Linked DNA regions of Danio rerio. The protein of the gene in region 2 purifies or fractionates together with the protein of the main gene of each other region. This does not show direct contact. Links are inferred from orthologs where the notes say so. Each region holds a gene or a part of one and is shown on either strand. Other genes may lie near its edges. The genes, in order: uqcc2 and uqcc1.

Region 1 (16,637 bases), about 12 Mb from region 2:
GCCTTGATTATCATGTCTATTCTTTAAAACTGTACCTATGTGTTTCAGCAAACTCCTGCCATCATCAGAGTGGCAAGTGTTTGCTGAAAGGTGTAGGCGCAGTTTTAAGGAATAGCCATGTCAATATAGGCTCTTTAATACTTTGTCCACATTTTTCGAGTGCCTTGAACTTACTTTTGCTGTTTATCTTGGTGAATCCCTTATTCAAAGAGCACCAACACAATAATTAAGCTACCCCTGAGCACTTTTTGTTTGATTTTGGCTAAGAATGGTGTTGTTTCAACTTATTTTATCTTAAAAAAGTACTTTGAACTAGCAACAAAAGTCCATTTTTTCAGTGTATTTCAAGTTAAAATATGGAGCAACTTTTTAAAAGTTAAACCAGGAACCTGTTTCTCCACATATAGTACTAATGAGATCTTATCAGACTCAAAAAAGGAGGGAATATTATGCAGTTTTTAACATGACAATGGTATTTTGGAAGCCTGAAAATGCAAAAAATGTGTGTTCAAAGTGCACTTTATTTCATCGCTGCAAACTACTAGTGATTTTGTGAATATGCTGACATCATGTGGGTGTGTACTACGTGTTCAATCTTGCACATGTACTATAAAAAGCTGTCCGAAATCACAAATGTTCACGACTGTTCAAAAAGTATGTTATATATAGTATAAATGCGAGAACAGTGGAATTCAGATGTACTACATCCACAATTTATCAATACTTCTTGAGTACTGTTTTTTTAAATACTATGAATTTGGACACACTATGTTGGCTCACATGCTGTTTTTCACATACTATATAGTAGGGAAGTGTGCAACTTCAGATGCACCCGTAGTGTTTCTTTTAGGAGTGACATCATAAACTAGTGGCCTGCAATGCTCATTACGATTTTGTGTTGACAGGGAATCTTTTGACTATAGAGAGTCAAAGCTTTTCAAAAAAGCATTCATCTTTCAGGTACATTGTCATGGTAAAAATATAAAGATAATCACAATTAAAAATGAAAATTCAGTCATTGTTTAGTTAGGATAATTCTTCTCTGCAACACAAAATAATATATTTTGAAGAATGTCGGTGACTGTTTCAATTCGCAATGACATAAGCTTTCTCCATTCAATGATTAAAGCAACTTTTTCATCACACATTCAAGAGACAAATATCACTGCCTGGCAAAGTAGCACAATAGATTAATAATAAAATTCTTTACATTTATTATTTAAAATAATTCATGCAATAAGCCAGGGGTGTCCAAACTTGGTGCTGGAGAGCCGGTGTCCTGCAAAGATTAGTTACAACCCCAATCAGACTCACCTGGGCTACCTAATCAAGCTCTTACTAGGCTTTCTAGAAATATCCTTGGAGGTGTGTTAAGGCAAGTTGGAGATAAGGCCCTCCAGGACTGAGTTTGGACGTCCCTGCAATAAGCCAATCCATTTTAGAACTTTTTTCCCCGTTCTTATCAAATATTCCAAGCACACACATCAGTTTAGAGGTGAATGCCTGAGGTTTTATTGTTATCGTGCTAAATGGTCGATTGATAAATTCATTTTGAGGATAGAATTTTCCTCAGGTGTTTGCAGAACTGTTAAAACATTTGGTGCGAGACAAGATCAGTCCATTGGTTTGTCTAGTTATCTGATGAAATCTGTAAAATTAGAATAAATACTGGTATATTATATTTTGCCAAACTTCTTTGGAAATTTTGTTTCCATCATGGTTAATATGCATTTATCTATTGAATAATTTCTTTTCATCTGACTCATCTGAGTTGAAAAATTCAATATTTGTAGGTTTTTTTATGTGGTATCCTAAAGTACACATAAAAATTGGTGGATGCAAACAAAGCCAAGGCTAAACAGATTTGAACATTCTTCAAAATATCTTCTTTTGTTGTCATTTTCTGTTTTTTTTTTTTTTTTTTTAGAACATACTTCTGAAATTTGACAGTTTTATTTGCTTCATTAATTTGAAATGAAAAACACATTGTGGTGCTCTTCTGTTTTTCTTTTATATCTAGGCACTGATAGAGCTATTGTTGATGAGTGGCACAGTGGCAGCCACAATGGTGTCCTGGTATCCCATCAGCCGCACTGCAACACTTCTCATGGTGCCATACATGGCCTGGTTGTGTGTCGCCACCAGCCTCAACTACTGTATTTGGAGAGACAACCCAGAGCCCAAGAAAGAAGACTGAAGAGCCCAACACTATTCCAGCTAACACAACTAAGAAGAATAAATGCACTCATGATTGTTTTGTTACTTGTTGGCATTTCTGAAAATGTTTAATTAAGAGTTTGAATTTTTTTTATATTCACTTGCAAGGTAATTCACCGGATGTCTTAAGTAGAAGAGGTGACGCAATAAAATAATACTCTAATGCTTCCATAAATTATTTTTTAACACACTGCACCTATTTACTCATGTTTAGATCAGTTTATTTGCTCTTCAAATCAACTGTTTGCTAACTTCCTTAAATAAACATGTTTAAAGCACACTGCATGTGGTTTCTATCACAAACATTAAGTTCTGGTCATGAAGTGTTGTGGCTGTACAAGGGTGGTGGTCAGGCAGAGGAGGCTTTTACCATCTATCTTTTGGGAACATGCTTCATCACAGATTAGGCCATGTTATCAATATTAGCCAGAAAATCCCCCAACATGCATTCAGTTATTTCACATTGTTAAGTAAGCCCCATTAATGAACAACTGCATTTATTTTTACCCTAATCATGAATAAGCACATTTAAACTAAATTAAATTATTTTCATTTTATTTTACCTTAGCTACCGCCAATCTAACTAACATGGTATATACACAATTAGCCATTAAATGTTCATTAAAATACATTAGTAATGTACACTTTGAGTCAGAATTAATTAGCCCCCCTGAATTATTCACCCCCGTTTAATTTTTTTTCCCAATTTCTGTTTAACGGAGAGAATATTTTTTTCAACACATTTATAAACATGATAGTTTAAATATTCTCATTTCTAATAAATAATTTGTTTTATCTTTGCCAGGATGACAGTAAAAAAATATTTAACTAGATCTTTTTAAAGACACTTCTATACAGCTTAACATGACATTTAAAGCCTTAACTAGGTTAATTAGGCAGGTTAGGGTAATTAGGCAAGTTATTGTATAACGATGGTTGTTTGTTCTGTAGACTATCGAAAAAAGAATTTAGCTCAAAGCGGCTAATAATTTTGTCCCTAACATGTTTTTAAATTAAAAACAGCTTTTAATCTAGCCAAAATAAAACAAATAAGACTTTCTCCAGAAGAAAAAATATTATCAGACATACTGTGAAAAATTCTTTGGTCTGTTAAACATCATTTAGGAAATATCAAAAAAAGAAAGGAAAAAGAAACTCCAATAGGGGCTAATAATTCTGACTTCAACTGTATCTGCAACACCTAATGAAGTCTTTTTTTTTTTAAACAAGCATTCAAATGAGGATTTCTTTAAGTGGCCCTGCCTACCATGAACATACATCTGTGGCAATTAAAGGCATGAAGTAAACCAAACATGCTGTAGGAGCACAAAATGTGTATGTAAAAGGATTCAGGTTTTTCCACTTGAAGTCAAAACATACACAGGATTGTTTAAAGGGAAATACAAAAAGTATTTATTGGCATCTGCTGGTTCAAGAAAAATAATATGCAAGTAATATTCTATAAAACTGAATACGGTGTTTCCTGAATTGTCACATTTCTTAAACCCTACAGCAGCTCTTCCAACAAAAATCACTGGTTTTGCTTGTTGGAGCTCTCTGTTTCGACCATCGACTTTAGGAGAGCTACAGCTGTTAAAGTGAAGATCTGCATACACACCTTATTGGGTCTATCTGTGAAAGTGCAAAGGGGAATAAATAAGAACTATACAGTATGGAGGTTATTTCTCAGCTTTTTCAGGGGGTACGTCTTCAGGTTTGGAGGAGAAGCGCTCCATTAGGGTCTTCCACAATCCCTTCTTCTCCTCATCTGTCTGCTGCATGCTTCCTGAAACAAATGACAACATCATTTACCTACTTATTTTTCATGTTTTTGTCCACTATACATAGCTCAATAAAAGACATTTAAAAAGATGCTACATGACACCACATTTAATGTTTTAAACAAGTCTTCATACCATACCTTTTGCCACAAAAACTTTAATAAACTTCTAAAATAATGGCAAATGTCTTTAAGAAACCAAACATTTGTACTCAAGACACTGGGCAGTTTAAACTAAACATCTTAATTTCAAGTCTGTGCTTAAAAAGTGACCAACAGGTCATAAACATAATTTAGAAACTCTACATCATGTAAAAAAAAAAAAAAAAAAAAAAAAACTTAATTTAAAATAATGTATTTTTTAAATACTTTATTTATAAGGTTATATATATATATATATATATATATATATATATATATATATATATATATATATATATATATATATATATATATATATATATATATATATATATACATATATACATTTGCACAAAACAGAAAAAGACAATCAGTCAACAACAACAAAACAAAATATATAAACAAATATCCCCAACACAACTTTCCCTTTTGTGGCTTTATCAGAAGATATACATAGCTAACAGTCTGTAAACAAAGTCCTCGAGCGTCACACAAATGCACAGCAAATGTACATATAGAGTGCACACACAACTTCAATACAGTAATGACAAAATGCAAAAAAATATACGATACACATAAAAAGTGAACAGTTCAGTGTGCAATAAAAGGAAGGTTCTGTACACTTTTCTTATAAGCACTGCAATTGTGAAAGCCATTACAAGGTTACATTGACGTGAAAGAGGAATAAATTAAATAAATTAATTAATTAAAAAAAAAAAGGGGGGGGGGGGGTCTTTTGGGATTATATGAGATTTTATATATCCTCCTGCTCAAAAATTTTTAAATTGTCAACGTGTGTAAGAAAGGGAGACGATGTTTTAAAAAAAATATTTTTTGAACCTCTGAGAGTAAATTAGATTTTTTCAAGCTGAATAAAATACATAACGTCTTTAATCCATCTACTATGTGTTGGGGGCTCAGGTTTTTTCCAATACAGAAGAATCTGAAGAAAGAACAATCATCAAAGTTTGGGGCGTAAATATTGATCAGTATTACTTATTTATCAAACAGACGGCCTGTCACACTTATATATATACCATTAATGTCACTAATGACATTATCAGTGACAAATTGATCATCCTTTCTAATAAGTATAGCAGTACCTCTGCTTTTAACATTAAAGGAGGAAAAATAATGTATTTTTAAATTTCACATAATATTAACCTAAATTTGGTCATGTTTACTGCCATGACAAAAGCAAACAAAAAAAATACATTCTATTAAATTGACCAAAAGAGCAAAGATAATGCATTAATGCTTTCTACTGATCAAAACAATCTCTAATGTATCAGTTGTTATACAGTACTGTCTGCACAAAACATCAACAGATGATAATTTTAAGAAATCTTTCTTGATCAGCAAATTAGTATGTCAGATTGATTTCTGAAGAATCATGTGACATTAAAGGTTCCAGATTCAGTGTTTATTGCCATATGCACAGTAATGGTTCCCTGCACAATAATATTCTAACTTGCTGTCCATACTGCATGCCGATAAGGTTTAATGTGTCTTAAACAATATATAACGATGGTGCGAATTGCAGGGGGGTTTGGGAGGATTGACAATGTATAACTTAAACATATTTGACTGTCCACCCATAACGGGTCATACCATTGTAAATGCATAATCACGCCAATCCATGCTAGGAAAAATACCATTTAACAGTCTGAAACTGGCAGATCTATAGCACCGATATAGACATCAAGTATTCACAAAACACATTTCATCTAAAATAGGTGTTTATATCTGCATGTAGCCTAAAAAATATTAGACACATAATTTGTGTAGTTTGATCTACAAAAACCTCTAAAATAGTCATTATATACAGAACACCTTTTTAATCATTTTTAACAGAAAAAGCTAATACTAATAATATTTCACAATATAGCCATTTTTGTTTGTTTTACCTTTGCACATGCAGAACCCGATTTTACCAAGTGCAACATATTCTTGAATCAGCATCTTTGTTCATCCTGGAACAAACTTCCAGCCAACCAATCAGATTTGAGACAAAGGTTTACAGTTTATGTAACATTTAGGTTTACAATCAGTGTTTGGTGCTTTCAAATTATTGATATTTACTTATTATTTCCCTTTGGTTTTAGGAATAATTTACAGTATGGGTAGGGTTGGGTTTAGTGTAAGAATTAGAATTGAAATGAGTTTTCTGACAGGTAACATGTTTCAGGATCAGCAAATTATGTTGACGCAGGAATGGATCTAGCTCTGCAAAATTTCTCACAACTTTTAAATTCTGGTGTATCTCAGTTTGTACAATATAATGTATAAATCCACACCTGTGGCCAACAGCAATCGACACTCTTCCACTGTCACACCTGTAAAACTGGTGTCTTTTGCTCGTGGAAACTGGAGAGAGAAAAAAAAAAGTCACTGTAACATTTCAAGAATGTGGTCAACACAAATGAAAACCATATAAATGTATTAGCAAAATAAACCCAAATGAGAAGTGTCATCTAGAGGAAACCAAAAAGCACTACTCACCTTCTCTTTGTACACATTACTGTTGATGCGAGCCAGACTTTCATACATCTGATCACATTTCTCTGGGTCTGAAATCTGAATAGAAAACAATTGTGCACGAATAGCTTAAAGTAATATTTATAAAATTCAATGTTTGTACAAGAGAACTGATTATTAAACACTAGACTACAAAAAAAAAAAAAAAAAAAAAACCCGAGGCTTGTCTAATTAAAGCATCAAAATTGAGGTAAAGTTGGTTTTATATTCGCACATTCGTTCAATGACAACTTTTTTCCCCATGGTACTTTAGATTTTGGGTGTGAAATTCAAATCACATGCAAGAACGAATTCAAAACATTAGCATGACTTATTTGTCTGAATAATGTAACTTACTTTGATAGTCACTGACATACAGTGATATGTCACTATTTATAATAATTGATGAGAAAGTCCGAATGTGTGAATATAAAGCCAACTTTATCTCAATAGCATAACATATCTCTGCACACACAATGAAAGATTTGACTTTGAATGTCAGCAAGGATAAATGGTGCAGTACATACCTGTGTATTTTCGCCCTCCCGGAAAGCACTAGCGACTCTTTGGCGTAAAAACGTCCCTAAATCTCTTCCTTTCTTAGACTCGTCTTTTGGCCATTCCTCGCACAGCTTCAGAAATCGACGATATCTAGTGGCAGACATATTTCAAGTAACGTTACAGGATTTGTGTTTCACAACTGCGCTCATGTACAAATCTGTAAGCCGTGAAGGGACAAATTGTACGGCGTTTCAATATTGACTCCTCATTGCGGATATCGCCCGTCTCTCACTACGGGTTGTCCCCGTCGAGCACCCGTACTAATGCGATAACCTCGTGGTTTGCCGTAGAAATTCCAAGGTAATATCAAAGACCTTCTGCTTGAATGCTTCGTGTGGCTAATCCTAATAATTTATTATAACGTTTAAAAACAATGAGCGGAAAGAAATCGGAAGGGAAATCGGGAGGGGTCACGGGATGGATAAGCTCGGCTTGCCGTTTTGCCGCAGACCGAAATGATTTTAGAAGGTTAGTCACGGTTTATAAATTTACGAAGGCTCGAAACGACGAATGTAACGTACCAACGTTACTCAAAATCTGATTTACATGTGCTGTTTTAAGTGTCTGCTGTTGTTACAGGAATCTCCTTGTGAACCTGGGCTTGTTTGCTGCGGGTGTTTGGGTCGCGAGAAACCTTTCAGATTTTGACTTGATGTCTCCTCAGCCGGTCACGTAGCTCCACACATTAACAACAAAATGGACTCTTACAGGTGAAATGGCATAATGTTGTTGAAATCATCGTTCACCTCTCATCATGACTTAACTTGGGTTTCTTCTTCTTCAACACAGGTGGTGCTGAAATGGGAGAAGAAAGACGTTTTCTACAGTGGGTCTTGTTGAACAAGCCTATTCAACAGCGAAGGGAATAAATCCCAACAATTGGATGATTACAAATTGTAAATTTCTTCTGTATATGCATTGTGTTTTGTTGAAATAAACCTCATGTTAAAACGTTTCCTACAGCCATTTATTTATAATAAATATATAATATACACACTATCAGAACAATATTCCAAAAAAATTAAAAGCATGAATTATAATGTCTATTTTATGATCCACAGTTTGATTCTTTCCTTAAAGAACATCCTTCGTAGCTTTCCCATAATGGCAGTCTCCTACTTTGATGACAGAGCTTTAATCCAGGTTTCTTTTTCCAACCTAAAAACAGAAAGAAAAACAAACATTTACTTGCACAACTAAAAGCAAAATGTTCACTCAAGAAAACTTGAAATACACCAGCTTTCTTTTAAATACAAAGTCCCAATGTATACGTTAGTACAGTACTTAAGTACAAATATATTATTATTCTAATCTGAATCTAAATTAAAATGTATTCTTTTCTCAATCAGCACATTTATCTTATTATTATTATTTTTAAATCCATTCATTTATTGCTTTATTCAAAAATAATTAACTTTACATTTTACAGCCCCCTAAGCACTGCCTTGTGGCCCCCAATTTTGTAAACCCTTAGTTCTACACAATATGAACCATTGCCAAGACTAATTACTCGTTGCGTGCAGCAAGTATCAGGGCAGAGGACGATCTATTATGCTTCTTAGTCAGATGAAGCAGGAGGGATTCAGAGGGTAATCCCAAAATAGTAGTTTTGATTTCCTCAGCGCGTACATGATCAGGAAATAACGCATGGTCCTGCACAAGGAATCTTTGTCCGCTGAATAGAGGAAGAAAAAGATAATAAAATTGGTTATACATACACAGACACACCTACACATAAAACGTTAAATTAAAGAGTCAATGGAAATCATGCAGCAGATCATACCTTCTAACAGAGAGGAGCAAAAGATCATTGAAAAGGTGTATGTATAAATCTTTGCGAGAGACTATAGATGCCTTGTGATTGCCACCAATTATTAATTGCTTCAAAGTTCCCTCCTGAACCAAATGACGTCCTCTGGTGATTAATGGAACAGCCTATTGAAAAAAAGAAAAATATGTCTACAAATTTGACAGAGGCATAAAAAAGAACTCAAGATATTTTGTACCTTGACATTTCCGAAGTCCACTAACTTGTCCAAAGAAACGAGCAGCTCTGTTCTTTTCATTTTCTGGACTCTTGTGTCACACTCTTCCACTATCTACAATCAGAAATTGAATTATGAATCCTAACAGCAGATGAACTCAATCTATTTTATTTTATGACTTGTAATACCTTCCGTACAGCTTCAATGGCTTCCTTCACATTAGGGACATTGAGACTAACACCCCGAGCTCTCTTGAGGACATTCTAAACCAGATAACACAAACAACTAATAAATAATCACGTTCACTACTCCACCAATTGGTGTATTTGCCATTTACCACTAATATCCAACATCTCCCTGACCTATTAAAAAGGGAAGCAAACCTCAAGCAAGAGAGTTATTCGTGTGATCCTCTGAAAGGGAAGAATTAGAAAAGACTTAAGCGTCTGTCTCTGGCATTGTGGGTCCTTCTCTAGTTTCTTTAGGATTGGTGCAAATTTCCTGTTTTCCTGTCTGGTAGAGGGGGTGCAAAATATCGATCAGAATGCTGTGATGATAAACTGAAGCTGAATTTGGTGGAAATATATAAACGGAACAAACAGCAGCTGAGTGACGAGGGCCTCCTGGTACATCATGTTGGTGATATACGGCACATAGACTTGTTGGAAGGATTTTTGGTGGTTCAAAACAACGTCACCAACCTGTGACATCACCACATCCTGCCTGAGATGAGACTCCAGGTCCTGCAGAAACCTACAAAAACCAAAGACAACATGTCCTGCATTAAATTAGATTTTGAAAATTTAAACCAAATATAGACCCTAACTGTGACCGGTGTAACATTGAGCCAGCTACTTTATCTCATATGTTTTGGGCTTGTTCAAAATTAAAGAAATTCTGGCAGCTAATATTTAAATTCCTCTCGGACGCATTAAATACGTATGTAGAACCTGAGGCCATAATTTCAATTTTTGGAATCACACCACAGTCCTTATGTTTTAACAAAAGCAAGATAAATGTGATTGCCTTTGCTACGCTTTTAGCTAGAAGATTAATATTGCTGAAATGGAAGGAAAAACTTCCTCCAACCTTTAAGCAATGGCTTATGGAACTTCTACACCACCTGACCTTAGAAAAAATACGATACACTTTAGGAGGCTGTACTGATATGTTTTTTCTCACCTGGCAACCTGTTTTAGATCACGTAAAAAAGATGGACCCCTCAGTCATTTTAGAAGAGTAGAACCTTTCCTTGTTTGTTTGTTGTATTTTTTTTTTCTTTTCTCTTCAATTTTTTGTATTTTCTTTTTTCTCCCCTTATTAATGAGAGTAACATATGCTTTACGTATTATTACTATTTATTTGCATTTTTTCTCAATATTATTTATATTTTTTTCTAGAACCTAAATGTATGTGCGGCAGGTTTTGTTTGTTTGTTGTGTAAAAAAAAAAAATTTGAAAAGCTATTTTGTAATGTATGTTTCATATCTAATATGTTCAATAAAAATACTTTTGGAGAAAAAAAAAAATGAGATTTTGAATGAAGAAGACTATATTTATAAGTGCAGCGGTTGGACAATGAAACTGAAACGCCTGGTTTTAGACCACAATAATTTACTAATATGGTGTAGGGCAGGGCTGTCCAAACTCGGGCCTGGAGGGCCGATGTCCTGCATAGTTTAGCTCAAACACCACCTGCCAGGAAGTTTCTAGTAAGAGCTTGATTACCTAGTTCAGGTGTGTTTGAGTAGGGTTGGAACTGAACTCTCCAGGACACCAGACCTCCAGGACGGAGTTTGGACACCCCTGGTGTAGGGCATCCTTTTGCAGCCAATACAGCATCAGTTTGTCTTGGGAGTTACAGATATGAGTCCTGCACAGTGGCCAGAGGGATTTTGAGCCATTTTAGTAGAATCAGTAGGGTAAAGGAAAATATTTCCTGAATCATTCCTCCAAAACACACCAAAGCGGCTCAATAATATTTTGATCTGATGACTGTGCAGGCCATGGAAGATATTCAACTTCACTTGCTTGATCAAACCACTGTCACCATTCTTGCTGTGTGTATTGGTGCATCATCATTCGGTTCGGTATTTCTTGGCAGTCTAGCACAAGTTTTGGGTCTAGTAAATGCCATAATATTGCACCCCAGCCCCTCCCTGATCCACCCCCATGCTACACTCTGGGAATGCAACAATCTGGGTGGTACACTTTTTTGGAGCTTCTCCACACTGTAACCCTCCCACATGTGGGAAAGACAATGAAGGCAGACTCAAAGAAAAATACATTTCACATTGTCCACAGCCAAAATTTTTGCTGCTGGCACTATTGAAACTCTATTGGCACGAATGACCAAAGGTTTGTCTATAGCAGCCCGGCCATGTATACTGACCCTGTGGAGCTCCCGACAGGAAACAGGAGAGTTAAGGTGCACATTTAATTCTGCAGTGAGTTGGACAGCTGTAGTTTTACATTTTTTGGATTTAATCCCGGTTTAGCAACTGGAAATCCATTTCAAACAGCTTCCTTAGGAGTCCATGGTTACTTCTTTTGAATGTAGTTAGTTGTTCTTTGTGGTATGCTGACCTTAACCTGGAGAATTGTAATAATAATCTGCAAAATAAACCTTTCAAATCCCCTGCTTCTGATGCTCTTGTGAGTTTCCCTTTTCCGCCTGTTATGTGTTCATCAACTACAATTAAATCAACAGCCACAAAGAAGACATCTATCTAACAATCTATGCCCACCTCCACCCCCTTCCTCTTGGAAGGACATCTAGGACACTAGAGTTTGAGCTTGTGAAAATCTGTAGTATGGCGCTGCAAAAAGGGGCGGGATTAAACAAGATGATTAGACATTTAAAAAAAGTGAGTGATTGATTGGTTCATATTTTAAATTTAGGTCCAGAGAGGTCATGTTTTGATCTTTGATTGGTCTCACGCAGTCAAGCGATGCGATTTCTCAGATCAGAGTTCACCAAGCTTGAACTTTGCAATGCAGCGAACTGCGAAACTTGTCACATGAGCTTGCATTTCCGGTCTGACGCATTTGCGTGTGTATGAATGGAGGTCTATGGGGAGAAAAGTCTAGCGTGACCGCAGCCTTACTGGATGAACTCTGAATCAATGAAGATTGGTCACCAGGCTGGTCAAATTTAGCCATGTTTAAAATTCATAGTCCAACCCCTCTATATTTAGTATAAAGATTTAAAATGACACTAATTTAGAATTTTGGAGCTGAATTGTGATCAAATTATATTCTTTAATGAAATATCTTTAATTTTTTTTTGTATATAAAATACTGTAATACAATTACATTTTCGTGAGCATCTTCTGTAAATCAGTTAAAATTATTCATTCATTCATTTTCTTGTCGGCTTAGTCCCTTTATTAATTCGGGGTCGCCACAGCGGAATGAACCGCCAACTTATCCAGCAAGTTTTTTTACACAGCGGATGCCCTTCCAGCCACAACCCATCTCTGGGAAACATTCACACACACACTCATACACTACGGATACATACACAGAAACGCCAACTGAGCCGAGGTTCGAACCAGCGACCTTCTTGCTGTGAGGCGACAGCACTACCTACTGCGCCACTGCCTTGCCAGTTAAAATTATATAATTTTATATTATTTAACTTAACATGATGGAACCTTGGGTAATTAATCAACATGAAGAGTACTTAAGTTTTTGTTTTAAGTAGAAAACAAGTTCATAGATGTTCCTTATGACCCCCTTTAAGATACTCTGGTGACATCAACCCGATATTCAAACTCGTTTCATACTCTCTGTAGCATCTCGGGCGTAACATTTTGGCTAGCTGCAGTTATTTCTTCTTTTAGTTCCTCAATGTGAAACGGAGCTTCCTTAAATCAAAGACAGAAAGAGCTTCGCTCTCGTTTTCTACTCTGCAGAGTTCTCGGTTTTCAAAGTTGTGGTTTTCTTTTTGAAAGCACCCTGTACTATGAATTGCTTTCTAGATCAGGGGTGCTTAATCCTGTTCCTGGAGATCGTGGCTGCGTCCGAAACCACATACTTCCATACTATAGACTGTAGTATGCTAAAATCAGTATGTGAGCCGAGTAGTATGTCCGAATTCATAAAATTCAAAAACCAGTATGCGAGAAGTACTCGGATGACTTACTACTTTACGTGAGATTCTGGAGTGCACATCCCATGCATAATGCGCTATCCCATGATGGCCCGCGAGTGAATTTATGAATGGGAGTGAAGCGACGCTAAATTACGCAGGTACGTCACATGACTATGTCAAAATGGTGTAGTATGTCCGAATTCCATTCATACTTTTCACATTTATACTGTATAGAACATACTTTTCTAACGGCCGAGTAGTACGTTTAAATTCAAATGCAGTACCTACTGAGTAGTAGGCGGTTTCGGACGCAGCCCTACCCTTCTGCAGATTTCAGTTGCTACCCATATCAAAACACACCAATTAATTAGGACCTGAACACCACTTGATAATTTCAGGCAGGTGTGTTTGATATGGGCAGCAACTGAAATCTGCAGGAAGGTAGATCTCCAGGAACAGGAATGAGCACCCCTGTCTAGATATTACTTCATTTATACATATCAAATGAAGGTACTGCTAACCCGAGTGACTATCCTTACCGTTCACTGACTCTGCAGACATCTTTTAGGTTGGAGAACAGAACATGATGCTGTACTCGGGTGAGGATGTGTTTGAGTTCTGCTGAGCACTGAAACACATTCAGCGCTACTATCAGACTCTTCTGATACGAGGCCTCGGACACAATCAGCTCAAACATGGCCTAACAAAAACATGAAACAGAAAGATGAGTAACACCAGACCAAGATCAGGTTCTTTCAAGCATGCACAACAATAAGCACCTCCTGAAGCTGGATGTCCTGTGCACTGAGGGAGTACAGCACACTCTTTGCTTGTGGTAACTCCTGCCATAGAGCATATGGTTTGGACTGAGGCCCTGGTGGGCTCAAAACCGAGGTCGGGCTTAAAGATGGGGGAGTTTTCAGACCAGGGAGACACACAGATGCAACCAATTCTGAAAGTCCTGCAAGCTGTGCTCGGTTTAAGTCCTTCTTGAAGGAGCGCATCCAATACTCCTGATATAAAGGGACAGCTAGAATATAAAATTGGAGCAGAATTAAGTCTTTTTTTTGGGAAATCTATACATTTTGACTAATAACTGCCAAACTGTATAGTTTCATTAAACCACTGCAGTAATACAAAGATTCAAAGAAAAATCATACATTTTAAAGGGCCATGAAACCCCCTCGTTTCAGCAGGGTGTTTTCACACCTCTACTTTGGAAAAAGTCAGAAAAGTGGGCGTGTCCAGCTCTGTTTAGGGGGGAGTGTCGGAGGAACTAAAGTGGGATGGTGTGGGAGTGTCTATTTGGGCTCGCGCGAGTTTCAGTCAAAATACACACACATGAGAAAGTGATGGTGTTTAACCTACATGGACATCTGTAGTCGAATTATTTGCCAAATTATTAAATGTTGGACTTTAACTGCAGTTTGGCTCTTTCATTCAGGGAATTCATTCATGCCCCTCGCGACAACGAGATATTTGATTCGAGGATCTGCTCTTAGCGTGTATTTTTCATGCAATGTTTAATACCGCACGGCGAATGAGAGAAAAAAAAACTCTGCATTTCCCGGAAACTTAGATGCACACGGCAGGTAGCGTCAGAAAGCCGCGTGTGTTATTCCGGTCACAAAATGCGGTGCTATGTTTGCACTCAGTGCAATAGTTAACTTAATTCGATACGAACAAACTGAATAAACAAAGAGCACTGGTCGCTCACTTACCAAATCTGTAGAGACAGAACAATCACCAGCAACTAGAGCCACGTCTTTATGAAGAGGAGACTAACGTTGCAAGCGAATCCGGATTTCAGCGTTTGCAGATGAGAACAGCTCTCAGGTAAACAATGTTCCTCCTTAGACACGCAAGTTATTGTTGTCGAGCGTCGCGTACACTGTTAATCCACACTCTCACAGAGAGAAAATGAAAACGAAACTTAATGGCAGCAAACTATAAAAGCAACACTTCACGCTTGTTTTGCCAACACAACGTGGCGTTTCTGTGGCGTAAACACGATGACGCTAAAGAATATGAATTAAGTTGCACAATAGAGCGCGCTGATTGGTTTGAACCAAGCCTTACTCATGCATTAATGCATCACACTGTAAGACGTAATAAGACTCACTCTGGCACAGACGCCCAGTCTGCACGCTGGAATACACACTATTATGTCATGACCGTGACGCAGCTTCAAAAATTAGTTTCAAACAGGAAGTACGAATTTGCTTGAAATAACGCAAAAACAACCAATTTACACTTTTTAGTGAAATATAGGTGTCCTAATAGTGTTTTTAGCAGTGTGGGACACATATACGACTGTCAACAGCTCAAAAAATGTGTTTTGGTGTTTCGTGACCCTTTAAATGACTTTAGATGTCTGGTGAATGTGATATCTACACTATCTGGTAGACAGTTTTGTAAAAGTCAATCAATTCTTTCAATCATTTGTAAACTTACAACTATTGATGTACTCGGATTCAAACTTGGCAACATATGTTTTCTCTTGTTGTACACTGACGTCCATTTCACTTATACTGAAACAAGGAAAAATGGCATTAAAACAAAGGTTGTGATTGATGTCAAAGCAAAACAGCAAAATAAAAGTTGTAGGGAACTGGATTCTGTCTGTGGAGCAGTGAGGATCTGTGAAGTTCAGGATTAGATGTTTTTACAAAAACAGCTGTGCGTTGGTTTGACTGGCGATTAAGAGGACATTATCATTTTGTGCATCATTAACATCAAATTCCTATCAGGTTGGATCAGGACCTTGAGTTTAGCACATTTAAACAGGTCTGTGATGCACAGCATGAAGATTTTAGCTTTTATTTTTCAAAATAATGTGAAACATTGCATTAGAGGCACTTTTAATTATAGTAACTTTTCACTCTTTTTAAAACAACTTGTATTTCTCATCTGTAAGTGATTTTAGATTTTAAAAGTTTGCCTAATAAATCAATGCCTTACCTTTTCACCTCACTGTCATCACTGTTCATGTCAGAAAATTCCAGATGACTGTAGCTCTCCGCAGAGAAGAGGGATGCAATGGGCAGAGAATACCCTACAAAGCTCCACAATTGTGAGCTTGCAACAGATCTAAGAGTTTCAGCCAACCCTTCAGATGTACTAAGAGAAAGAAAAGAAAGCGATCAAAATAACATCCCGTCAGCTTCCTTTACAAGCCTTTTAACCTAGGCTTGCTAAAGGTTAGCAAGGCTGGGCCAAGTTAGAAATCATGGAGCTACGGTTTAAATTTATTTTGATCACATACCAGTAATTTCCACCACACGCCTCACTGTCTTTCTCTTTTGTTGGAGGGTCATATTCATCCATCGCGGGTCGAGCA
Region 2 (16,555 bases):
GTCGAACTGAACTAAATAAATTGTGATCAAAAGCAGAAACTGATCAAATTGGGAAAGGCGCAGTGGCGTTCACATTTTTGATCTGATCGACTGCCCCAAAATGAGGCAGACGCGCAGAAGGATTTTTAGACAGCTGTGATGCTGATGACGGGAACATGGAAGATCATCTCAGACTTCCCAAAGTGTGGCCCCGCTTTTAACACAAAACAGGTAGCCGTATGAGATGAAGTCATCAGCCAGCAGCCAACCTTCACTTCAAGGTGTGGACACAAGAAAAATACACTAAATCAGAAGGAAACGATTAATTGTAAATATTTTTTTCATATTTTAAGTCATCAAAGTTGGGTACACTTAAAAAGCAGTGAAGAGTACCACAAATTTCATTTTAATTTACTCAAATAAAAAAAGAAAAACTTGCCTTTATGACTCTCTCTTTAAAAAAAAAAAAAGACTAATATAATCAGAAACCTGTAACTTTGTTTGAAAAATATATAAAAAAAGACATTTTCTGAGAAAACTGCATGCAGTACCACTTTATAGTAGGGCTGTGCGATTTGGGGAAAATATCTAATTTTGATTTTTTTGACAGATATTGCGATTTTGATTTGCAATTTAATTTTGTAGCCAAGCTTCAGCTCAATAACCTGTATTGCAGCTTCTTACTGCTAAAATGCAGTGATTCTTAGTTTAAAAAAGGAACTTAAAAGATATCAACTTATGTTAGCAAACAACTCTGAAATTGTAATTTACTGTTGCTTGTTACTAGATTGAGTGTGACTGGCAGTACTTTTAGTCAAATTTGTTTGCACGACGCTCCTCATACAACAACCTGTGGTGCTTTTAATGTGCTGGTCGTTGTATTTCCTCGTGCTGTGGCAACAATTCTGTGACAGCTCTTACAAATGACCTGGTTTTCTTTGGTGTTTGTGACTTTGAAACCAGGATATTTACATATTACTGACGTGCTGTATTCCTTTGACTTTAATTAGTCTATTAATGCTTCTGAAGTAGCAGATCCCATCATCCCACTCGTCCGTGCTTTTCTGTTTGTTTGTTTTTTTATTGTGGGCTTCCGCATAGTTTGGTTGCGCAATTCTGATTGGGCAGAGCAAAAGTGTGCTCACTTAATTGGCTAGTAAAACTGTCACACACAAACGGCAGTCACGCATTTTCTCTAGGTGGGGGAAGTTAAATAATATATATTTCATATCGCAGCTTCTTGCAATTAACTAACTGCAACGTTTCAAATTGGGATTACGATTCGATCTTAATTAATCGCATCACCCTACTCTATACGCACTCGAGATTAATATGAGATTTGGCAAAGTGAGCATGTTACATTCCCTTTAAATTTACTGTCCCTCCAAAAGATGCTGCATTAGAAACACCTAGATTATGCAATGCATTTTCAATTACGTGATGCAGTTTCAAGAGAAACAGAATATTAAATGAGAAATCAGTGGTCTGAATGATGGTAGTAAAGTCGGCATTTTATTCAGAAAGATCAGAAAAAGGGTTTTAGAAGAGTTATTACAACTTAACAGATGCCTTCTTCTCACCATTTCTGTTTGTTGTCAAAACTGACCGCTGGAAGGGCGTGGTTAAGTATGTTAGCCACGCCCAACACAGCAAAATTGTGTAATCTAAGAATTTAACTGAAAACAAACAGGAAGTGCATTATCATATTTTACTTTAAAATTTTTCCTCTTAATGACATGCACAGATGAAGTGTTCACCACATAACTACCAATATGAGCTAACAAAATCATATGGTTAGTTTGATATTATGTGTACTTTAAACACTTTCAAGGATTTAAGATGCTGATGATTGGTAAAACATGACCACCATCTAGTGAGAAGGATCTATTGTAGACGAAAAAAAATATTTGACACCAATGTGTAAAAAATATGGTTCTTAATGCATAAGTTAATTTAAAAAGAACCATTTATTATGTTCTTAATTTGTGCATTTCTTGTGCATCTTTAAGCAAAACACATTACAGATTTATCTCAATTCTTGCATAAAATAATGTGGGTCAAAGACATCTGATATCTGCATAATAAGATAAGTGTGTAAAAACAAAACTACATCAAAACATTTTTAAAAACCCATTTAAATTGTTTATTAATATATATATATATATATATATATATATATATATATATATATATATATATATATATATATATATATATATATATATATATATATATATATATATTTTTTTTTTTTTTTTATTTTATAGACATTCCTTCCAAACAGGACATGTTAGATCTCATGCCAACTCATAACTTTTTGATTTAGTGGCTAATTATTATGAAACTGTACGATCTCATTCATACATTTTAGTACAATCTGCTCATTTTCCAATGACAGCTGGGTTTAGGGGTGATGTTTGGTCCCACGCCTCCTTTGAAAAATCGTACATTTTCATACAAATTGGCAACTAAACTGACATTGTAAAAAAAAAGTTCTGTTTCCTCATGAGAAGAAACATGATTTAAAGCGGCATTTCACTTTTATTACACTCTGATGCTTGAAAATACCTTTTCATCTTGACTAACAAATACCAAATGTCATCTACTGCTTAGAAGCACTGGATGAGCGGCTTTATTTACCCATTTGTTGTATTTGAGGGGTCCGGTGAAGCCCATGGCCTCAATCATTTTGGTGAAGGCTCCCACCTCTTCATCTGTGGTCTGCGGGGTCTCTTTAACAGTACACAGCTTCAAAACAGAACACAGAAATTCATTTAAAGCCATAATATAAAACAATGGCAAACTAATAGGCATCTTGCAAAGTAAACGCATGGTAAAAAGACAAACTCAGGTCACTGTTGTTGAAACATAATACATAACAGAATGCATTTAGAAAAAACAAACTCAGGTTACAAGACCAACTAAAGTTGAAGGACCTATAGAGTTCTTGTTTTTAATATTGGCAAACAGCCACTATAGTGTCAAATCCATCAGTTATTGAAGTCTAAGATCAGCATTTCACAATAATTTCCCTGTAAATCTAAACTCTACCTGGGTACAGTTTATGGAGGTATCGCAATGTTCAGCTAGTTCCCTAAAGGCACTTCTATGAAGGCAATAAAACCTTTCCCGATGGATTTCCCACAAGATTTTTATGTTTTACTGCATTGAGTGGGATTTCTGGTAGACTAGAAGTTTAGTAGACTATAATCAGCACTTGCCCTTTGGGGTCGCACCGGGAGGAAATGATTATTGCCAACATATAACAAATGTCAAACCTCTGCACACTTTTGAGAATACATATTTCTTAAAATCTTTAAAACTGGTTCGAAATTGCAAAATCTGCAACTGAAATTAGTTCTGTCGAAAAATATGCTGTCAATACATTTATTCACATTTAAAATTATATTAGTTTGGAGTGTCCAGAGTTTTATTCATTCATTCATTCATTTCTTTTTGGCTATGTCCCTTTATTGAAATCAATGAACCACCAACTTATCCATATGTTTTATGCAGTGGCTGCCCTTCCGGCTGCAACAAATCACTGGGAAACACCCACACACTCCCATTCACACACATACACTACAGACACTTTAGCTGACCCAATTCACCTATAGCTCATGTCTTTGAACTTGTGGGGGAAATCAGAGCACCCGGAGGAAACCCACACGAACATAGGAAGAACGTGCAAACTCCACACAGGAATGCCAACTGACCTAGCCGAGGCTCGAACCAGCGACCTTCTTGCTGTGCGGCGACATACTGCGTCACTGTGCCACCTGGGTCCAGGGGCCTCATGTATCAACGCTGCGTACGCACAAAAACTTTGCGTACGCCAGGTTTCATGCTCAAAATCGCTCACGTTTGGATTTTCTAACGATGAACTGAACGTGGGAATGTGCGCAGCTCCACGCCAGCTTTATGGCAGGCGTACGCACATTTTTTGTGCGTGTTTGTTTTATTTCCATTGGCGACTCCTAGAGGCAGTTGTGTTAATAAATAAAATATGATGCACAGACTTATTAATGATTCCTACTTGTCTTTCTCGTGATAAATAGTTGGCAAAATCTGATATTTTGTGGGGGTAGGGGGTGGAAAGAAGAATGAGTTCATCAGACGCTGTATTCGAACCGAGTTCAAGCTCGAACGTCTCAAAACATGTTGACATGCGTTTTACGAGCTGCGCCACTGAGACTGTTAAGGGTACTGCAACATTTTACACCTATAAATCACACTATTTCTTTTTTTAATTCACTCAGTGCGATGTTCAGACCCAACTGTGTTAACCGCATCAGCTAAACTCTCCCACTCTATTTTTTTCTTTTGTTGTTAAGTCCGGAGGACAAACTTGCAAATAACACCGCTTTTCTCCGGTCTACCTCCGAAAGGAGAACCTCCAATTCACATTCTGTTCAAAGTTTCTCTTTTTGCTTGCTTTTGCCATTGCTTTTTCGTTGGGTTTTGCCAAAGTAGAGTCATTAGCATATTCATACGGGGGCGGAGGCAGGGAGGGGTTTTGTGCTCGTGCATGTTGCGCTCAGTTTCACGTTCATTCGGATGTACAAAAGAATATGCGTGAGATTCGGCGTACGCAGTGTTTCAAACATTTTAATTTTTTTATGCGCACGCACATTTACAGCTCTGTGCGTACGCAATGTTCTAGTATGATTTCCACGCAAGTCTTCATACATGAGGCCCCTGATGTTTTGGCAATATAATTCCCATGCCATTTGTGCGATTTGGATAGTTTAATTAACCACTCAATTTAATTAATTAATCACTCAAAAATATAGATAAAAAAGTAAACAAACTTTCGCTATGATTGTGTTCACACTTGGTAGGTTTGGTTTGACTGAATTGAATTGATTGAATTGTGTGATTGCTCTATTAGTGCAATCACACAAATAGAACAATTTTTTTTAATTATATTTTGGGGGTATTGTTTCACCCTAAAATTTGGGCACTGGTAAGGGCACTAACGAGCCTTGTTCACAACACATTGGGACACACTGGGTGTGACATGGGAACATCCTCATTTTACAACATAAAAACTGGAGTTTATAAACAGTGGAACTAATCATTTTCATATATTAATTTTAACACGTTTTAACAAATGCTTTGAAGCTAAATAAATTGATTATTTCATATACCAGCAACATTTCAACCACTAATAACGGGTAATAAATCGCACCAAAATGTATTGAAGGGTAAGTGAATTATAATAGCGAATACTTTATTGTAACCGTAGTAGTGCTGTGCGTCATTTGTTTACCCTTTAAGGTGATGTACTGACTGACTGACAAGCTGACAGGTGCATGATGCTTGAGGCCAGCAAACACGACGTATAGCCCTTTCACTTTACTTCAGGACACATTAATGCTACTCTGTAGGTCTATTAGAGACATTAATAAATATTCCTAGCAAATCTAATAAATGCTGGAGCTATACTGGTTACATAAACGCACTAAATCGCACATGAAGATCTGCGCGCTCTTGAAGCGGTTTATATTTGAGGGGGCGTGCAAGAAGTTTTATGCACGAGCAGAGGAAATTGGCGCGCAAGCACAGAGATTCGCATGTCGTTGGCTATTACATAAATGCGATCCCGACTTCTAATACTGCGCTCACAACATTTGTCACTAATATAATAACGCCACAGGTAGTTGGTAGATCTGTTTAAAAAAATAGAGTAAACACTGTTCATATTTCACACTTTCAAACTTCCGTTAAGAGGGCATACATAGGGTGTATCAATGTGTCCTGATTTTCACAGTGCATTGTGGGACTTTACAGAATTATAACGTTTCAATGGAAGAAGTTTGAAATTGAGACAGCTCTTAAAATGGCTGGCGACCTGATCAGTGCACTGGCTATTGAATAAGGCTGCTGATTGAGACACACCCATAGTGTAATTTCCAATGTTTAAAGGCAAATTCTTACAAATTACAATCTGAATTGCTTGCTTTGTACAAAATATTGAGAATTGCCAAGCTCTTAAGAATGAATAAGTCTAACAAATTATTGTTTGCTGGTGCGATTGGTCTATTAGTGCCATTAAATACTTAACACACCAAACAAGCAGATGAGAAACACGTAACAAATTCTGCTGTGATTCAAATGAAATAAAAAATCAATAATGACATCAGAATGAACCAAAAAAGCACAGAATGCATAAGCATACTTATTATTTTGTCATTAAAGTGGCAATGTTGCCCTGTGCAGTTCAGTACAAGCCAAGCAAGTGCATCTCCTGGCAGCAGATCTTTATTTGTGCACATAACAAGATTTCCCAGAGCTTCCTTCACACAATTAGTGCTGTATAAGTTGTCAGATTATAAAAAGCATGACATATACATATCCGCTTGTTAAGTCGTAACGTGTTGGTGATGTATGTAATACTGTTTACGGGTCCAAGCCGCCACTAATTTGAGTTGAGAAATTATTCGTTTAAGATCACTTTTAATTCATATCACACATTAAAGTTAATTTCATATAAAGTCATAATGTACACAACAATCTCTGGGCTAGCTGCATAACAAATACCCAAATTTGAACAATTTATAAAAAATGAATAACTTTCTGGACATTGTATATTAGGCATGGACATATATGTTACGATCGTGATTTTCGAAAGTAATAAATCGCTTTGTAAAAGTTTATAATTACCATTTCATGAGTCTTCCCATACAGTTGTATAGAGCGATTGTGCCCGGAAGCCGCTTTGCGTGACCTCACACTTGACAAGCGGATAGCTCATTCCAGGAATGCAGATACATTCCAACCATTTTACATTTATTTGCCTTAAACTGGAACGATATATAACAAATGTGTAATTTACAGTAACGTGGATCTTTTAATAATGCAACCTAAAGTAGACAATACTGACGCAAATCCTTTCATCAAGCAGACTCATAACAACTTCATTTGAGAAGTTAGGATGTTGTGTAAATGAATGATAAAAAAGATAAACAAAGCAGATTTATTTTTACAACATTTTTTGCTCATGTTTTTCATATTTGAAACTTCAGGCATATCTACACACTAAAATAAGCCCTGTTTTCAGAAACTGTTCCGATTTGTGCAGACATTTCCAACCAAACTCTGACTGAAGGCCCATTTTATTATGATATTGTTCTCTCAGATGTAACTCTCATTACATTCTCATTACTGTAATAAAATGAAGACCTTATTTTATGATTCTAACTAGGTATGCACTGAGGATGAATTAGTTATAAATTGAAATAAAAAAACAGTCCATACCTCTCCTGTGCTGTGAAGAGCTCTGCATTGTGAATGAAAGGGGACTCCAGCATCCGCTGCTACACGGCAAGCCACCAAAGCCCTGGACTGACACACGACTTGTTCAATGGCCTGAAAAACAAACATATTCAACTTGACAAGTGCTTTGGCATTTTTTAAAATTAATTTGAGAGTTCTGATACCTGACTACTCTAAATTGTCTAAACGCAAGACTAGGCATGGGACTATAACTAGTTTCAAGGCTTACAGAAGTTTGGAAAAGTCACGGTTTTAAAACCATAAAAATATTCTGTTAATATGTTCCTGCTGTATACGCAGTAATATCGTGATATTTTAATCTAAGGTTGTCATACCATCAGAATCTTATACCGGCCTATGCCTAGGTAAGACACTGCAGGGAAAAAAAAATACACACAAAAACATACTTCCCCATTTAATTGATGACATTATAAGAATTGTACATAATTTGTAAGAGATTTCTGAAATATTGACATACATGTTTGGATATGCAAAAAATAAATGTGTGCTAATTTGCATACAATTAAGTTACTTAACACATTTTGTGATTTGTGAGCTTTCTAAAGTACACACAGGTTTGAATATGCTAATGAGAGTAAATGTGTGCTGATTTGCATACAATTAAAGGGAAAAGTCTGGACATTGTTTCAAATCTGAAACAAGGCAGAAAGTTCCAGTTTTGTTTTATTAGAGTTAAACGTTTCTTTCATTATATAACAGTTTCATTCATCCATGATTTAGATAATAGTGCAAACAACCAGAAATAAAAAATCAATGTTAAATGCTCCATATAATTTGTTAATTGATTACATTATACTAATTAAAAACATTTTGGTATTTATGAGATTTCTAATATATTAATATACACATTTGAATATGGAAATGAGATTAAATTTGTACTAATGTGCATACAATTTAAAAGCAAATACAGAATATTATCCTTTATATAATTCATTCATTGATTAAATTACACAAATTGAACACATTTTGGGATTTGTGAGATTGTTAAAATATTGACCAACACGTTTAAATATGCAAATAAGATTAAATATGTGATAATTTGCATACAAATAAAGCACAAAATCGGAACATTGTTTTAAATTAGGTTGAAAATTCCTGTCTTGTTTTATTAGAGTCAAATGTTTTTTTCAATATATTACGGTTTCATTTATCTATTCGCATAATAGTGCAAACAACCACAAATAAAAAATTCACAATGTTGAATGTTCCATAGAATTTGTTAATTGATTACATTATACGAATTGAACAGATCTAGGTATTTGTGAGATTTCTAAAATATTGACCTACATGTTCAAATTTGCAAATGAAATTAAATTAGTGCTAATTTGCATACAATTAAAGTACAAATTCAGAACATTGTTTCAAATCAGGTTGAAAATTCCTGTTTTGTTTTATTGGAGTGAAAAGTTTCTTTCATTATATGGAGTTAACTTGTTAACAATGGTTCGGCAGTGGAACCACGCCTCACTTTGTCTCCTTAACCAATCACCTACTCCCTGAAACTTATTAAAGGCAGACCAGCCCTCTAGCACTGTTCTTCTCGTTCATTCAAACTCACTCTCCCTCCTTCTATTTCCTCGCTTCCCATTCACAATCCTATAACCCTCTCTTCAGGCCAAGGTTGAATTGGGAGGTCCAATCACCCTACCAAAACACAACAGAGACGGTACCCCCACTCTAGGGCATCATCGTAGGAAGCCTGATCAACCTACCTACCTGTTCACTGTTTATCCTCCTACTTCCCTATCTCACTGTTCTTTTACCATCCCCTTCACCCCTACAATAAAGTCTAGCTCAATGTGTGGCGTGGTCCAAGCTGGTGAAATTACAGTTTCATTGAATTCTTGATTCGTTATATTAGAGTCAAAGGTTTGTTGTTTTTGAGAATCTTTTTTATCACTCCATAATTCAGAAAATAATGCAAACAACAAGAAAATAAAAATGTAAAAAATAAACAATGTTCTGTAGGGTAAAATATTCCATATAATGTGATAATTGCTTACATTACACAAATTGAACCCATTTTGGGATGTGTGAGATTTCTAAAACATTGACCTACACGTCTAAATATGGAAATAAGATGTGCTAATTTGCATAAAATAAACCACAAAATCCGTTCACGGTTTTAAATTAAGCTGGAAATTCCTGTTTTATTTTATTTGAGTCAAATGTTTCAGTAATTATATTAGTTCCATTGAATTCTTGTTTCATTATATTAGTATAGTCACAGGTTTTGTGATTACGAGAATCTTTTGTAATCACTCCATTATTCAGAAAATAGTACAGACAAGCAGAAGAAAATACACTTTCTCAATGTTCTGTATAATAAAATGTTCCTCATACAGGGCAATACAGGTTAGTTTACAGTAGCTCATAATTGTGCTGCAAAATATAGAACAGAATAACCCAAAACAACATTAAAATTACATTTTTAGCACGTATATAAGGATAAGGCTTTAAAATGGCTCCAATATCAAACCCTTCAGTGATGTTATTATCTTTTTAAGTACACATAATAATTAACGTTACCTTTCCGAGGACAGCTCTCGATGCTGAGGCGTTTATTAAGTGTCTAACGGCGGACTGCAGCGGTCGCCGATACATGATTCCGCTAAAGTCACAATAATAAAGTATTATTGTAACTATAAAGCAGGAATCAGTAACTGATACTTTCCTACACGTTTTGTAACAGTTTGTTTTCGTCCCTCCCCTTTTACAGCAATGTCAAAGCATCTGTCCCGCTCTTAAACCGCTCCGTGTGGAAATCAGAGCAGAGCAATGCAGAGCTGTGCTACATGGTTCCACACGAGAGAGTTTGTGGCAAATATTGGCAAAAAACCGCTTGATAAAGTATACGTTAGCTTTACCATCACTGCTCTTTGTGTTATCGTTGGCAAACACAATTAAGTGATCTACTACTCTTAATTTTAGTGTCTAAAATACATAGGAGCAGAGTGTGACTGCCGTCAACAATGTAGCACACTTGCATTAATTGGGTTAAAGTTGGTTTTTATATCAGCCCATTCGGACTTTTACCATCTTAATATAATTTCAGACAGGTATTTCTTGGTAATTCTAAATGGGGAAATCATATAGCAGCCAATGACTATCAAAGTACAACATTCACAGTCTATTAAATAGTGCTAATGTTGTTTTCAAGTCATATTTACATGATTACAGACCAAATATTTAGTATATCGTGGTAAACAATATAGGGAATATGTCACAAGTTATCACGTTGTGCTCATAACAGTACGTCATTGTAATAATTCTGTATTAACCTTTTTAACTTCTACATAAATAGTTTATTGAACCCCAAAGTTGTGAATATAAAACCAACTTTACCTCAATCTTGCATTAATCTCTATAGGCTATAGTTATTATAATGGTGATTCTCCACTCCTTATATTGTTATTAATATTATAAAGTTACTTTATAAAGCAATTTATTATTCACTTGGAATGGAAATACATTTATTTAAATGTTCATATTATATTATATACATTAAAATGACAAAAAAGTCATGTTTTATACAGCAATTATATTAACCAGTTGTACTATTTTTTGTAGGTTTTAAGTTCTCTATTTTCTTATTTCATTATAATTTTAGTTTAGTGATTGTTGTTGTGTCTCTTTTGTGAAAATGTTTTATAAATGTATACAGTTGAAGTTAGAATTATTAGCCCCCCTGAATTATTAGACCCCCTGTTTATTTTCTTCCCCAATTTCTGTTTAACAGAGAGAAGATTTATTCAACACATTTCTAAGCATAATAGTTTTAAAAGCTAATTTCTTATAACTGATTTATTTTGTCTTTGCCATGATGACAGTAATATTATTTTACTAGATATTTGTCAAGACACTTCTATACAGCTTAAAGTGACATTTAAAGGCTTAACTAGGTTAATTAGGTTAACTAGGCAGGTTAGGGTAATTAGGCAAGTTATTGTATAATGATGGTTTGTTCTGTAGACTATTAAAAAATAGCTTAAAGGGGCTAATAATATTGTCCTTAAAATGGCGTTTAAAAATGTATAACTGCTTTTATTCTAGCCGAAATAAAACAAACAAGACTTTCTCCAGAAGAAAAAATATTATCAGACATACTGTGAAAATATCCTTGCCCTGGTAAACATAATTTGGGAAATATTCTGACTTCAACTGTACATAAAAGCTATGGAAAATAAGTTACAGACCACTAGGGATGAAAACCACTAAGGATGTGTGTATAGACAATCAAGATATTTGACTATAAACTACCTGATAAAAGTTTTGTCATCAATCCCAGTTGTAAGAGCAACAAATAATAACTTGACTTCTAGTTGATTATTTGGAAATGTGTCAGAAGGTAGATTTTTCTGATGAATCATCTGTTAAACTGCATCCCAATCATCACAAATACTGCAGTTTCTCTTGGTTTGGGGTGACATTCATTATGGGGGTGTGTGAGAGATCTGCAGAGTGGATGGCAACATCAACCGCCTGAGGAATCAAGACATTTGTGCTGCCCATTACATTACAAACCACAGGAGAGGGCAAATTCTTCAGCAGGATAGCGCTCCTTCTCATAATTAAGCCTCAACATCAAAGTTCCTGAAAGCAAAGAAGGTCAAGGTGCTCCAGGATTGGCCAGCCGAGTCACCAAACATAAACATTATTGAGCATGTCTGGGGTAAGATGAAGGAGGAGTATACTGTACATTATTTCTGTGAAGTGGCAAGACTTATGTCAAAGCAAAGTCAGACCTCACTGTCCTAATAAATATTTTAAAATCTAGGCATGATTATATTTTATTTTGGTTAAATAAGCGTATTGTAGAGGCCTTTGCCTTTCATATAAGCCACTCCTGATACCAAATGATCAACTAGAAGTCAAGTTATTATTTGTTGTTCCTAAAACTTGTATAGACGACAGGACTTTGTCGGGTATATATAAGAGCGGGGAGCACTTTCATTCATTTTGAGGGGCATTTTTTCCTCAAGACAAAATGCCTGAGCGTCAATGTGTTAGCTAAATGAAAATGAGAACAATTCTTTACTTTGTTTTCTTTGTTTGTTTTTTAAAATACTAAAATACAGTAGCTAACTTTCCCCACATGCTACATTTACTCTAATCAAGATTATTTTAATAATGAAGACAGCATCAATTGGTTAAATACTTTTTTGGGGATATTGTTAAATTGTGAGTCCTCAACATTTTACAGCAGAGCTTCAGTCTGAATTGCATTTCAGAGGGATGTGTTGCATTTTGGCAGCGACAGGTGCGCAGCTCGATGATGTCAGACAGTGGCATTTCTGCTGGCAGAGCAGAGAAACAGAGAAATCACATCAGTCCAGATGACGAACGACTGCCTCCAGTCTGTTCCAAAGATTAATGTCCAATAAGTACCTGGCATCACAGCTCCCGAGCCACAAAGTAAGCAAAAACTACACACTGCCGCGTCCACAAATTGTTTAAAATCATCCGGGCATCGAGGAAACTTCCTGCCCGAGTGCATCCAAAAATCACAGAAATATGTAATGCCCTTTTATGCATGAACGATTAAGAAAAATCACCCCCCCTCCGACCCTCTCCTCACGTAAAAGTACCAAAAACACTTTGAAGTCGGGATGTTTTCACAGCAGGGAGTGCATGAGGTAATGTTGGAGTTGTCTTTGCGTCGCTTTTTTGTTTCTTCCTCATAGCTGTGGAGGTTGAACTGAAAATGTCACAAGTCACTCTTTTTTTTGTGCTCGGGAAGGAGAATGTCACCGTTATTAGTGGTGAAATATTTGTCTAGCTTTCACTGCTGCACCTTTATGCCTTCAGGAAACAGCAGAGGAGGTGAAGGGGCCTCTTGAGGAACGGCCGAAATGTTGTTCATCCCTATGTCACCCATCCCTGAAAAAACAAGCAAAGCGCTGGGTCAAACCATGTGGGACTGCAACAGCTTTGGTTGTGTGTTCTGCACAGATTAAATGTCATTTTCTTAACAGCCTTTGAGCAGCATACAGTTCATTATGAAAGAATTACTGCTTCGCTCAAGGTCACCTCAGCAAAACTCTGGCAGCTTTTTTAGGTGACAGATAAATACAAATGTCAATTTTAGTTTGTTTCCTAATTTATTTCAGGTATCAACAGAGTTATGGTTCTTATTTGGGACTGTTTCTCTTCAGCTTGTTTCCTGTTCTCACTATTGATTATTTCTCACATTTTTCACAAAATTTAGTTTAATATGAACAAATTTGAAAACTCCCCAGCATGCACACCATGACGTCAGATTGACATCGTACCTCAACGTTGTGAGATGTTGCGTTTTGCTTGGAAATAAAAATCTGTTTGACATAAGGTCCAACATCAGGCCGAAGTCAATGTCCAACGTCGGACAGACATTGCATTTTATTTTGCATTATAATACAACATATTAACGTCTAATGATGTTACAGCTTGATGTTGTGTGGACGTTACCAATATGAAGTCTATCAGTTGCTGGATTTTAGTTGCCATATCTGATGAATAAATGTCAGTATTTGATGTCAATATGACGTTGGTTTAAGATGTTGGCTTGACGTTGGATTTTGGTCACTTTCTGACACAACCTAAAATCAACGTCAAGTCTTTGTTTGACATCAAAATAACATTGTCCTAGACACTGGCGATTTAAATCTGACCTAATATTAACGTCTTATGACGTTGTGTGTCTGCTGGGTCATATCTCGCATTGTAATTTTTTTCTTCAAAATGTGAACTTTTGGTAGTTTATTTTTCACATCTGCATCTTTAATCATTATAAAAGTGTCTCCTCGAAAAGCACTTTTTTATCTAGCAGTTTTTATAATCTGTGGCTTTATTTCTTACATTTGCTTCTAACTGCAAAAACTTAATTTTTTTACTCTACATTTTTTTGTTTATTTCTTAATTTATTAAAGGTAACAGCAGAGTCATGTTTCTTATTTGGGACTGTTTCTCTTCAACTTGTTTCCTGTATTCACTATTGATTATTTCTCACATTTTTCACTACATTTTGTTTAATATGAACAAATGTGAAAACTCCCCAGCTGGCACAGGAGATCAACATGACGTCAGATTGACATCGTACCTCAACATTGTGAGATGTTGCGTTTTGTTGGGAAATAAATATCTGTTTTACGTCAGGTCCAACATCAGGTCGGCGTCAATGTCCGACGTCGGACAGACATTGCATTTTGGTTACTTTTTAATGCAACATAAGATCAACAACATATTAACGTCTAATGATGTTACAGCTTGACGTTGTGTGGACGTTACCAATATGAAGTCTATCAGTTGCTGGATTTTAGTTGCCATATCTGATGAATAAATGTCAGTATTTGATGTCAATTTGACGTTGGTTTAAGATGTTGGCTTGACGTTGGATTTTAGTCACTTTCTGACACAACCTAAAATCAACGTCACGTCTTTGTTTGACGTCAAAATAACATTGTCCTAGACACTGGCGATTTAAATCTAACCTAATATTAACGTTTTATGACATTGTGTGTCTGCTGGGTCATATCTCGCATTGTAATTTTTTTTCTTCAAAATGTGAACTTTTGGTAGTTTATTTTTCACATCTGCATCTTTAACCACTATAAAAGTGTCTCCTCGAAAAGCACTTTTTTATCTAGCAGTTTTCATAATCTGTGGCTTTATTTTTTACATTTGCTTTTAACTGCAAAAACTTATTTTTTTTATTTACTCTACATTTTTTGTTTGTTCTCAATTTATTTAAGGTAACAGCAGAGTCATGTTTCTTCTGTTTAATATGAACAAATGTGAAAACTCCCCAGCTGGATCAGGAGATCAACATGACGTCAGATTGCCATGACAGTATAACAACTATAGTCAGGGGCAGCGCTGGCCGGTATGGGCCCCATGAGAACATTCCGATGGTGTCGCAGATGAAGTGAATGAGGGCTGGTGGGTGGTGAGGTATGGGGGGTTTTGCGGATGAAGGCGGGGTAGGGAGCTGTAGTGTCCTAACATGGCATGGGGCCGTAGAATCGTCCTAACCCCCAACCCCCCCCTCCCCCCCCCCCCCCCCACCCCCAAAAATGTCGCCCATATAGTCATACAAACAAATTACCTAATACTGCAGCTTAGGTGATTTAAGTGACTTTGAGCCTCTCTGAACACATCCAACCTTGTGGCAGATGGGCTACAGCAGTAGAAGACCACACCGGGTGCCACTCCTATCAGCTAAGAACAGGAAACTGAGGCTACAATTTGCACAGGCTCACCAAAATTACACAAGAAAATATTGGAAAAACGTTGCCTGGTCTGATGAGTCTCCATTTCTGTTTCAACATTCGGATGGTAGGGTCAGAATTTGCCAATAATAGCATGAAAGCATGGATCTATCCTGCCTTGTGTCAATGTTTCAGGCTGGCGGTGGTGGTGTAATGGTGTGGGGGATATTTTCTTGGCACACTTTCAGACTATTAGTACCAATCGGGCATCTTGTACCTAGTATTGTTGCTGACCATGTGTCTTCTGATGGCTATTTCCAGCACCATGTCATAAAGCGTGAATCATCTCAGACTGAGTTCTTGAACATCACAATGAGTTACTCAAATGGCTTCAACAATCACCAGATACTCAATCCAATAGAGCACCTTTGGGATGTGGTGGAACAGGAGATTCGCATCATGGATGTGCAGCTGACAATTCTGTGTGAAGCTATCATGTCAATATGAAGCAAAATCTCTGAGGAATATTTCCAGTACCTTGTTGAATCTTTGCCATGAGGGATTACGGCAGTTCTGAAGGAAAAAGTGGGTCCAACCCAGTACTAGTAAGGTATACCTAATAAAGTGGCTGGGGAATGTGTTATACTACAATACAGTTTCCTGTAGTACAAAACTAATGTATACTGTTTATCAGTTCACTAATAATGCTAAAGTTATCATTCATTAACTCAGTGTTGTAAATACTATACAACATTATAGACTTAACTACAGTATGGTTAAAAAAGAAGATGGTATTTACTATAAATGACTACAGTATTTTTTCATGGTGGATAAATGGCTCACCTGGGTTTACATTTCCCTCACAGTTCTCCTGTTATTTCTTAACCTCTCTTAACCCAGCGATTCCTTGAAAGGGTTCATTTCAAACCCAGCTTTGACTCAATGAGAACTCTTACTTTTTTTTCTCTTCCAGAAAACAAAATGGGCCTTTTTCCTCAAGTGAAGCGAGGGCTGCTTTCTCCAGCATGTTTGGATTAATAAGGAGTGATTGATGAAGACAGGAGAGGAAACATTCGATTCCTGCTCCGCTC

The links.
Region 1: the proteins of uqcc1 (region 2) and uqcc2 purify together in Homo sapiens (co-immunoprecipitation; 3 studies listed by BioGRID and IntAct, counting the BioPlex papers as one, with this or other methods). This does not show direct contact. The link is inferred for Danio rerio from reciprocal best matches to the Homo sapiens genes UQCC1 and UQCC2.

Annotation. Positions count from the first base shown.
Region 1 is NC_133181.1:43,119,876-43,136,512, reverse strand, and holds uqcc2 (ubiquinol-cytochrome-c reductase complex assembly factor 2), read right to left. Parts: upstream 7,450-16,637; 5' UTR 7,321-7,449; coding exon 7,183-7,320; intron 6,716-7,182; coding exon 6,641-6,715; intron 6,506-6,640; coding exon 6,436-6,505; intron 4,004-6,435; coding exon 3,897-4,003; 3' UTR 3,607-3,896; downstream 1-3,606. Other genes in the region: tspo (translocator protein), read left to right, coding at 2,021-2,197; tomm6 (mitochondrial import receptor subunit TOM6 homolog), read left to right, coding at 7,590-7,684, 7,796-7,892; si:ch73-15b2.5 (rho guanine nucleotide exchange factor 19), read right to left, coding at 8,332-8,374, 8,727-8,891, 9,000-9,151, 9,223-9,315, 9,390-9,464, 9,585-9,714, 9,802-9,954, 13,837-13,997 and 4 more.
Region 2 is NC_133181.1:55,284,698-55,301,252, forward strand, and holds the start of uqcc1 (ubiquinol-cytochrome c reductase complex assembly factor 1), read right to left. Parts: upstream 9,966-16,555; 5' UTR 9,883-9,965; coding exon 9,808-9,882; intron 7,351-9,807; coding exon 7,240-7,350; intron 2,728-7,239; coding exon 2,620-2,727; intron 1-2,619. UniProt on the Homo sapiens protein: Required for the assembly of the ubiquinol-cytochrome c reductase complex (mitochondrial respiratory chain complex III or cytochrome b-c1 complex). Involved in cytochrome b translation and/or stability.